2 linked regions of the Drosophila melanogaster genome follow. The protein of the gene in region 1 interacts with the protein of each later gene in a pairwise test. Each region holds a gene or a part of one and is shown on either strand. Other genes may lie near its edges.

What was found.
Region 2: the proteins of hkb (region 1) and CG2889 interact in a two-hybrid assay, tested with the Drosophila melanogaster proteins (one large-scale study listed by BioGRID).

The regions. Positions count from the first base shown.
Region 1 is NT_033777.3:4,344,457-4,348,819, reverse strand, and holds hkb (huckebein), read left to right. Parts: upstream 1-2,173; 5' UTR 2,174-2,316; coding exon 2,317-2,971; intron 2,972-3,036; coding exon 3,037-3,275; 3' UTR 3,276-3,805; downstream 3,806-4,363.
Region 2 is NC_004354.4:10,472,030-10,478,007, reverse strand, and holds CG2889 (uncharacterized protein), read right to left. Parts: upstream 4,071-5,978; 5' UTR 3,923-4,070; exon of another isoform or gene 3,333-3,922; intron 3,293-3,332; exon of another isoform or gene 3,220-3,292; 5' UTR 2,991-3,219; coding exon 2,868-2,990; intron 2,807-2,867; coding exon 2,386-2,806; intron 2,328-2,385; coding exon 1,883-2,327; intron 1,826-1,882; coding exon 1,613-1,825; intron 1,401-1,612; coding exon 857-1,400; 3' UTR 807-856; downstream 1-806. Other genes in the region: CG2887 (uncharacterized protein), read left to right, coding at 1-613.

The sequences.
Region 1 (4,363 bases):
TATCCCGTCAGGTATTGGACAGTGCAGCTAATCGTTACAGGCAATCCTGCCATTCCATGAATGAATTCACGTTCGCTGGCCGAGTGGTTACCATATCTAATTATTTTATAACTTCCTTTCATACCGGTTATGAGTGCCGCATTGTCCTAGGTAGGTTGCAGTTTACGACCCGTCGGGCTGTGAGACGATTGCGTGGAAATACCGGCGCTCATTACTTTAAGAATCTACTGCGGAAAATCCCAGGCTGCTGCAAGCCCAAGTCCAAACCTACGCAAATAAGCTAGTGAATTTTACAGTATCACCACCCTCAAGCCAGCCCAATCGGCTATCTACCTGCCACCCGACCACCAAGGGATCTATCCAGATCACAGGATCGTCCCTGCTCACGGCAATCCCAGTTTATGAATGAATTTACTAAATGAGCTCAGTCGTGAATGAAATGTTCTCCGCGGACCGCGTTTTATGGACGGTTCTACATATACATAGGTACTAACAAACCCACAACAACCCAGCCATGCCGCTGCACTCATTAGCATTGGTCGAACAATGCAGTTGGACGTAATCCCAATGATTTCCCTTTTGTTCTAAATGGCAGGACAGGGGCATAAGGCGCTAGGCCTGCGGAATGCACCTTCCCTAGAAAGCAGATATCTTTTAGGAAGTTATTATCGCTTTGGTCCGATGACAGCAGTTTTATACTCTTTTAAAAAACAACAAAACGAAAATATTTCGTTCAATTCCGCAAATCTTTCTTTTAATTCTAGCAGCAAACATTTTTATGATTATATGCTGTATCCGTCGTCTCTTGATTAGAATTAGAATTTGATTTCGAAATTATTTCAGGTATCTGTCGAAGAATATAGAGGTATATAATACATTTGGCTGCAAAAATAGGAGGCATATATTCATAATTTAGAGAAGGCTTACTTCCAATGCTTGTTGACTAGAAAATAAGATTGAACTCAGAACACTACTAATCCTATCGTGGGAATCCTTAGAGGGTATGTATTAATATTAAGTACCATTTTCCCTTTAAACTCAAATTCATACAGAAAATTGGAGTGGAAAGTAAACGCAACAGCAATTTGTAGCGGCTACCAATGCATGCGAAAAACTTGTGAACTTAAACACGAACTCTTAAAGCCAATATCGCCTTCTAAATTAAAACATTAGGTGTAGCAACGCACATTCAGCCAAAGTATGTTGTATCTGTTCTCGTAGTCTGCAGCCAGAATCGCGTTAGGGCAAACGCCTCCACGAGCCAGTAAAGTTTTTCTCAAGCACCCCCAGAGATAAAGATAAAGTTTAGGCGAACTGTACCAACTGAACAACACGCTCAAGCCTGGCAATCTCTGCAAATCCTGCCCAGCTGCTTGGCCCGCACTTTGCATATTCGTGATGTCGCGGAGCCACCCTCGAACAAGCACTTAATTTAATAATAAATTGCTGCCACATCGGGCACAGGAAACCCGAACCGCAGATAACCGAATTATACATTTGGAGAAGTATCTGTGTCTGGACGGAGGGAAGGAGGAGGAAACTGTGACTGGGAATGGGTATAAGATTGGGAGTGGGATTGGGATTGGGAGAGTGGGCCAAGCCAAGCCCAAAGCCAACCACCCGGGAATCATGGTCGGTGGGTGGGTGTGAGTACAATTCATAACATAACCGTGAAACGCAAATGCTCTGCTAAAGTTGCGCCCAAATCGGAGGCACCGCGCTGCTGGGATCGCCTGGGCCCAGTATATGTAGTACGGAGTGGAAAGAGTAGAAAGCGCAAGTTAGGAAAGCTGCCCGCCACTCGGTCGGGAGTTCGATTTTCCGGACCGGGAAAACTACGCAGGACTACACGCACACACCAGCGCCTTATATACTTCAGCTGCGAGTGTGTGTGCGAGCGGGCCGCCATTGTTGTGCCCTCGAAACCGAACCGAACCGAATCCGTGCCCGTTTCTGAAAGCGAAACCCACCCCGAAGCATCCCTCTCGCTCGCACATCCTCAGACAGACAAATAATCGATGAATGAAGCGACCCTCAGTGTGCGTGTGCGTGTGCGGGTGAGTGTGTATGTGTGTGCGCGTGTGTGTGAACGCAGGACGAATGACTGCCTGGGTATACGAAGTGTAGGTAGCCAGAGTCCTGGGTTTAAATTGAGAGGCGTCGGGGCAGGAGAGCTCAGTTCGAGTCGAGATCTCGCAGCACACACACAGCTCCGCACAACCAAATCAAGTCCAAAATCATAATCACAAGTGTTCCATCCAAGTGATTTAGTGTCGCGAGAGAGCAATTTAGACCTTCCATTAAAACTACTGCAAAATGTCGACGATTAACCTGCATCCCCCGCAAACCTACTCGCGACTTTTCCGACCCTGGGATACTCAGCGCCAGGCGGCGACCTCGGCGGCACCCAGGACAGTGAAGCAGGAGCCGGAGGCGATTACCATCAAGACGGAGCTGGCCAGCAGCAGTTTCGGCCACGACTGCGACGGAGACTTCTCCTCCGCATCCTCCTCTGCGTCAAGCAGCAGCAACAGCAGCAAGTCCTGCTACGAGGAGGCCCTGAACCACAGCAGCTACACCCGCACTTCCACCCCGCTGCTGGACGCCGCCCCGCACCCCGTCTTTTCACACCCGCAGTCGTCGCCGTTGGACACGCACGCCGCCGCCACCGCATCCTTGGCTCCGCCAAACCAGCACGCTCCATTCCTGTCGGCCGCCAGCGATCTCTACTACGCTGCCGCCGCCGCAGCAGCCGCTGCTGCCTCCACGCCCACTGCCGTCCCGGGCTTCGGCATGGACCCGTTCACTATGGGCCTGATGGAGCAAGAGTACGCCCGCGTGATGGCCGAGGACGCACAGTTAAAGGCGCTCAACAGCCGCAAGCAGCGGCCGAAGAAGTTCAAGTGCCCCAACTGCGACGTGGCCTTCTCCAACAACGGCCAGCTGAAGGGCCACATCCGCATCCACACCGGTAAGTCGACCAGAACACATCTGACCCCGAGAGTCCCACTCACTTATCTCCATTCTGTTCTGCAGGCGAACGCCCATTTAAGTGCGACGTGAACACATGCGGCAAGACCTTCACCCGCAATGAGGAACTGACGCGTCACAAGCGAATCCACACCGGACTGCGGCCGTATCCTTGCAGTGCCTGCGGAAAGAAGTTTGGCCGACGCGACCACTTAAAGAAGCACATGAAGACGCACATGCCGCAGGAGCGCCAGCTGGGCCCGTCCATCTTCGTGCCCATGTACTCATACCTTTATGGCTACTGAGAGGGAAATCCTGGCGAGCTTTCCCCTTGCCACGCGACCCTGCATTCCAGCGATCTGTAAAGCGCTTGCACGCTTTAAACAAGCATTACCGAACCGAATCCAACGAAACGAAACTTAACGCCAGCAAAAACTGCCTAGCCAATCGTGGACAGAACTACCTCAGCCGTACCTGGCGCAATGTGGCGCACTCACCAAACCCAATCTTTGGACCTCGACGATATATGCAAATATTGAGATATTTATTTTTTAACGCGTATTTACACTTCCAGCTACGTGACTGGTTATGATATTCGGCACATGTGTAAATAATCCCTAAGTGATCCTTCCTCATATGCTAAGCGATTAAGAAATTTAAGAGATGCCCGGATTTACGTCTAAGTTATACTAAAGCTGATACTTTAACAGTTTTATAAGCTGATCGTGGTTACCAGATACATACGATTTATACACAAAATTATACGATCATGGTTATATCTGAGAGTTGAATTATACGATTTATGTTTACAACACAAAATACACAAGAAAAACCGTACAAGAAAGACCTTTATTACCTGGGCGGTGTTAGAAATGAGGAGAAATGTACATAGAACTTGCAATTTTGTTCCCCAATGATTAAATGCATAGTTCCATTACGAGTATACGAGGAGCTAAAAACCAAGAACCATTACCTTTACATGTTAATGATCCACTGTCACTTCCCGTTAACCAGATCGTGCGACAAACCGCTCGTCATGCCGCCAATATCAAAGGCAAATCGGAAAATCGCATTTGAACTGTCATAAAAGGATTAAAAGGCACAAGTCATTTGGTCCGAATCTATCCAAATTTCATTCACAAATTACCCAAAATGAAACAGCACCCCAGACAAGCTGAAACCGACCAAGCCGCGATAATGAGCAGCGCCAAAACTAAGGGAAAAGTGCATTCGTGTCGCTGGCAATCTTTCCCACAGTCCTCTTTCGGTCCAGATGTGCCCACGTAAATTCGCCATTACTCAGCTGACAGCTTGCGTCATTCATTAGGACAATAAAGTGGTTCACCTGAGCAAAGAGACCTAGACACAGTGTCTGCGACAAGTCGAAAAATTA
Region 2 (5,978 bases), on another chromosome or scaffold:
CGACGATGACGTCCTGTTGGGTGGAGGAGCGGGCGCGCCTAAACGTCGTTGCGAACAACAGTCACCCCAGTCAAGCATCGAACATGTAATATACGTTGCTCTGGAGGACATTGCCAACGGGTGCAACAGGCGCATGAAGATCTCCCGGGCTTCGGGTAGGAACGGCGTTGATGGGGTACAATATGACAGAATTCTCACTGTCAAGATACCTCCGGGCTGTAAGGCTGGCACCAAGATCTGCTTTCCCAATGAGGGTATTCAACTGCCCAACCTTGAGCCCGCCAACGTCGTGTTTATAATCCGGGACAAGCCACACCCAATCTTTCGCCGCGATGGCAACAATCTGCTGTACACAGCCGAAATCTCGCTGAAGGATGCTCTGTGCGGTTTACACGTGATGGTGCCGACGCTTCTTGGCAGGCCGATGGAACTCAAGACCGACGTGGGCGAGGTAATCAGTCCGAAATCCGTGCGCCGCATTCTGGGCTACGGATTGCCCGATTCCATTAATAATTCCCGTCGCGGCTCCATCGTCGTCAGGTTCTCCATCCAGTTTCCAGACGCCATATCCAAAGAACTCGCATCCTCGCTCGACAGACTTCTGCAAAACTGATCGAATGGACACCTGGAGATGTTATCCGTCTTTATGAACGGATCAACGGATCATACATACAACAAAAAATCATCTGTGCTCCACATAAAATTACATATTTTTTTTCTATGTGATTCAATAAAGATCTTATAATCTACCTCTAACAAGCATTGTCCGCTACAAATACCTCTAATAAGAATGAAACCAGTGAAGTACAGTTTAATTATACGTATAATGATTAAACACAATTGTGAGGGGTCAGGTTTAAACGTCGGCCGGTTTGAACTGCGGATTGTGCGAGCGTGCCATCTTGGCGCGCAGCCACTCGTCCGCGTGACGCTGCTTAATGTGGACATACATATTGGAGCGGGAACGGCACTCCTTGGGGCAATGCGGACAGTTGTACAGCTGCAGGCCCGTGTGGATGGCCATGTGCTCGTCCAGGTTGCGCTGCTGCTTGAAGGTTTTCTCGCAGAACGTGCACTGCAGATTGGTGGTCAGCTTGTGGGCATATTTGACGTGACCGCGGAGCGCTGTGCGCGATGTGCAGGTCTTGCCACAATGCGGACACACGGTGTCCGTGCTGTCGTGTGTGAAGCGGTGCAGGCGCAAGCTGTGCTCGTTCTTCAGCCAAACACGGCAGATGGGGCACTCCACAGCCGGGGCCACGACGCCCTGGTGCTCCAGCAAATGGCGCTCGAAGGAGGGCTTGAACTTGAACTTCTTCCCGCAAATGTCGCAAACGTGACGATGCAGGTCTTCGTGGATGGATTGGATGTGCCTTCGCAGGCGGTGTACATTGGCAAAGCTGTAACAGATAATTTCATATCAAATACTCAACTTGCAAGACAGTTTTTTTATCTTAAAAAAATTATTTCTTTCTTGCTATTCTCGAAACAGTGTGAGTGCGGAATAAGTAGACAGCTATCCCTCTCATTTGCGTGTGGAATGAATAAAGATTACTAATTCAAATATGGGGCAAGAATTCCAATTCGATCAGAGACCCTGCTCTATTCTCACCTTTTGCAGCAGATCTCGCAGGTGTGCTCCAGTTGATCGGTGTCGTGCTTGGCCAGATGATTGGCCATACGGCGCTCGCTGCTGAAGGTGCGTTCGCACTTGGGGCACGGGAACTTGAGCACCTTGCCGATTTGAGCCACCTTGTTGTGCACCGTCTCGATATGAGTGGCCAAGTAGTCCTGCGAGTTGAGCGACTTCTTGCAAATGGTGCAGCTATGGGATTTTAAAGTCTATGTAGCAACAGACAGAACCCTCGGGCTTCAAACTCACGTAAATAGCTTGGGGTTGATATGTTTGCGGATGTGGTCCATCAGCTTGGAAGCGCGTGTAAAGACTTTGCCGCAGCACTTGATGTAGTACTCGCGCTGGTGCACCTCCAGGAAGTGGGTCTTCAATTCGGATAGGTAGGGAGCACTAAATTCGCACAGGTCGCAGCTTGCACTCATGTAGCTAGCAATGGCCTTCTCGTAGCTCTTGGCCAGCTGAGCACGGGAGCAGCCCTTGGGCTTGCGCTCGAGAACGGCCTGTAGCTCGGACTCCTGCGACTCGGTGGTTGTTCGCTGGTCAGGTGCCTTCCTGCGCCGACGCTTGCCACCATCGTCGAGCAGATCTGCAAGCTCCTGCTGCAGCGATATCGGACCCTGATCCTTGGAGGAACGTGCCGAGGTTTTGCGCTTGGGCTTCATTTTCGATTTCAGACGGACCAGGGGTTCATCTGCAATGGAACAGGAACTTAGTTACGGCTAATCCTTGGGAAACATTAAGATAATAACCATCTGAGGAGTCAGATTCAGATTCCGGCTGCCCCTCGGTCACCTCCGGTTCGCTATCACTAGCTTGCAGGCAGGGCTTCTCGTCCTCCTCCTCCTCGCAGGGCAGCTGCTCCTTGATCGGTTCCCTGACTTCCACACTGTCCACATTCACGTCCAGCACGCTTCCCAGCAGACTAAGGTTGTGCAGGTCCAACGGTTTCTCGTCCATGTCGCCAGCCGCCAGCGGCAGTTCGTCGATGTTGACGTCCACGTCCACACCGCCCGTCCACTTCATGGCCGCACAGTCGACGTCCACGGTAAGGAACTCCTTCTTGAGTGAGCACTGCTTCTGCTCCACCAGCTGCCAGAAGCCATTGAAGTCCTCCAGATGCTCACAGCACTCGGTACAGACGCTGGTCGAGATGCCGTCGTCTGGTAGGATCTGCATGGGATGGCTTATTGGAATTGTTTTGATACCATTGGTATTTGCCAGATACACTCACCTCCAGCTGCAGAAACTTCGCAATCATCTTGACCAGGCGCGTCTCCGCAAGCGTATCGTCCGTCTCAAAGAGGAAGACAGCGCTTCCGGGACTAAGACATCGCAGGCAAAGGCGACAAATCATTTCGCGCGAACAGAACCACAACGCAAAGTCAAATAAATAAAAAATTTAAACAGTTTTTCGTTGTAAACAACATAATTCACCTATCGTGAATCGATAACAGAATCCAATTGTGAATGGCAAAACTTCATCTCAGGAGTTTTTTGCGGGGTGGCCACCCTGATCGTTGAGTATTTCTCTTTAATTTCTCTTACAATTTATGGTCTACGTTTTTAATTGTCTGCAAAATACGCTGTAAACGATTATCCATTAATTAAAAATCGAAAATATGAAACTTAATATATCGCTGGATACACATCAAAACGATGGCATTCTGCGGACGGTCAGGCAGCACGCCAATCGACCCACACAACTCTGGCAACGCTTGCCGTAAAATGGCAAAAAAATAATACATACGATTTAAAACTAATGGACAATTACGTATTACGTGAAAAGAACGCAACGCAAATAATCAAAACAAATAAGAAACGCAACTCGTGTGCGTGTGTAGTGTGTGTGCAGAGCTAAAACCTAGCGAAGGAAAGGCAAAAACCCGTGGAAAAAGCGAATTCAAACGGGTTTACTCGAAGCCTCCTCACCCGATACCATTTTCCACCTACACTTGCAAAAAAGCGACAGCGCGCGAGAGGGACGGCGCGAGTGAGCGGAGAGTGGGAGAGCGCAGTGCAAGTGAGTGGGAGCGAGAGCGCTGACAAAGCCAGCGCAACATAGCGAAAATCGCAACCAAATCGAAATCGAAATTCAACCAAATCGAAGATTCTGGCGAACAAAGGCGACTAACAACAACAACTGCAGCAGCGGCACGTCTCGTCTTGGTTGCGCTCTCTTTTGTTTTCGTCCCGTGTTTTAACAAGCGGCGAAACGGGCGCTGAGTAAGCGCCAGAAAGAGTGCAAAAAAAAGGCGAAGGAAAGAAAGAAGCCAAGGAGCAACGAACTGTGTTTGCGGTGTGTGCTCTGCGTGCGAAAGGGTAAGCTCTATGGTCTCTCATGCTCTCGCTCTGGAAGTAGGCCGGAACCGAGATTTGTTTGCTAAATTATGTTTAATTGCACAGCGGGTTTGTAAATCTGTGATTTTGTTTGTAGAAAATACGCATTGTATCAAAGAAATATTTTTGTCGGTTCTGTCAAATTCGACGTGTGGGAGTGGGAGGGAAGTTCAGCTAGTCATGTTGTCCCGCTCTATATCGCAAACAGCGTTGCATTTGTCGTCGGCAGGTCATCGTGGTCCGTTTTCTCTTTTTGTCGGCATCGATGCATAGAGTCCGTGTTAATTTCCGTTTAATCGCTAAATAGCACGCTCTCTAATTGTTTAATAATTGCCAGGCGACTGCCACCCCCGGAATTAGTTTCACTCGGCGGTCTGGCTGGATCCCAACGGACCAGGTGGCAACGCCGCGCTCCACACCACTCACGCACGCAATACATTCGAAAAGTGAGAAGTGGTAGAGGAAGAACTCGAGGAAGAAGAATTAGCGGCAAACTTTATGTTGGACGGTGAAAAGCAGAATCAAAAGATATCAATTTCCGCGAAGTTAACAGTTAAATAACCAACATACAGGCGGCCAAGTGTGCCAGCAGACCGCGAAACATTCGAAGTAAACAAATTCAAGCGTTTTCCATTCAGTTTATCATCGCTGCCCAACAAACGAAACTCCCCGAGTGTATTGCTGTGTGCGTGCGTGCTGTTTAAACGGTATATTTTACTCGTCTCTCCTCTTTGTTTGCCTTTGCCAGCCACTGTGCCATGCAAAATTAATAAAAGGATACGGCTGTAAAACAAAAGGTGGTCAAAAAAAAAAATTGCACTCGTCGATTAAATAATAACTATCAAATCCTCTCGGTTTCTGCGAACGTAAGTGTGTGTGTGTGCGTGATGTGTGCGCCTGTGCCTGCGTGGTGTTAGTGTGCGTTGTGCTTGTGAATGGTTGTTATTACAAAAAGGAGACATAGAATTGTTGCCAAGCGTTTAGATTGTCTTGTACTCCCCCCACTTGCATCTGTCAAATTGGTTACATTTTAAATGCCGGCCTTTGTTGTTGTCGCTCTTGTTGCGAGGATTTTACTGGCCCCGTTTTTTCTATTGTTGCTGTAGTTGTCAGCCATTGTTCGGCCGCCCCTTCACGCCCCCTGCCGCAATTATTACAAGACGCCACCGCAAAAAATTCTTTCAATGCGTTGCCGCTTCTGCCGCTGCTGGCGCTGGTGTGTGTGTGTGGGTAAATCTATCTAGCTGTCCCGCTTCCGCTGTCACCCGCCCAAGGCAGCCTCTCAGTTGCGTGTGCTGCGAGGCACTGGCTGTCCTGCTCGCACCAAACATTGCCTGCATTCAGTGTCGGATCAAAGGGGGGAGCGAAACTGGGAAATAGTTGCCCCAAACGTTTTCGTAATAAACGCAATATCAACAAAATACCAAATGATTCTACAAACAGTTTCGAATGGTAGTAGTCGAATGGAATTACACTCTAGTTGTTACTTTAACGAAGCATTAAGAACTTGAACGTATTTCGCAACAGCATGTGTTGGAAAACTACCAAGAAACTTCTTTAGTTTCAGTGGAAATGAAATATCAAAAGCATTTCTACTAAAACTCGGTTTAGTTGAAACCCATACCTATTATTGTTTGAAGAGGTTATTTTCCAAATTATTTGCAATATCTTTCTAAGAAGAACCAATTTTCGCTACAGATCCACCTCTGTAAGCGTTAGTGGTGCGGATCGGTTGGGGGTGGCTAAATAGAGGAGTTCCCGGACACACAATAACCAGCGTGTTGAAAACAATTTGTCGGGAGCACCACCCACTTGCAACTGACTAGCCTCGCCTCGCTACGCCTGCACCTATACTCAATTAAATGCCTATCTACGCTTTTGTATTTTGCAGCCCACCAGAAAGACTGAAACAAGGAGCTTCGGCCCAAAAGCGATCCCAGCTCCTTAAACTCATTCTCGTCAAGAACCACAGCCACATCCTAGCCCATCCTCCAGCGCAGCGGGA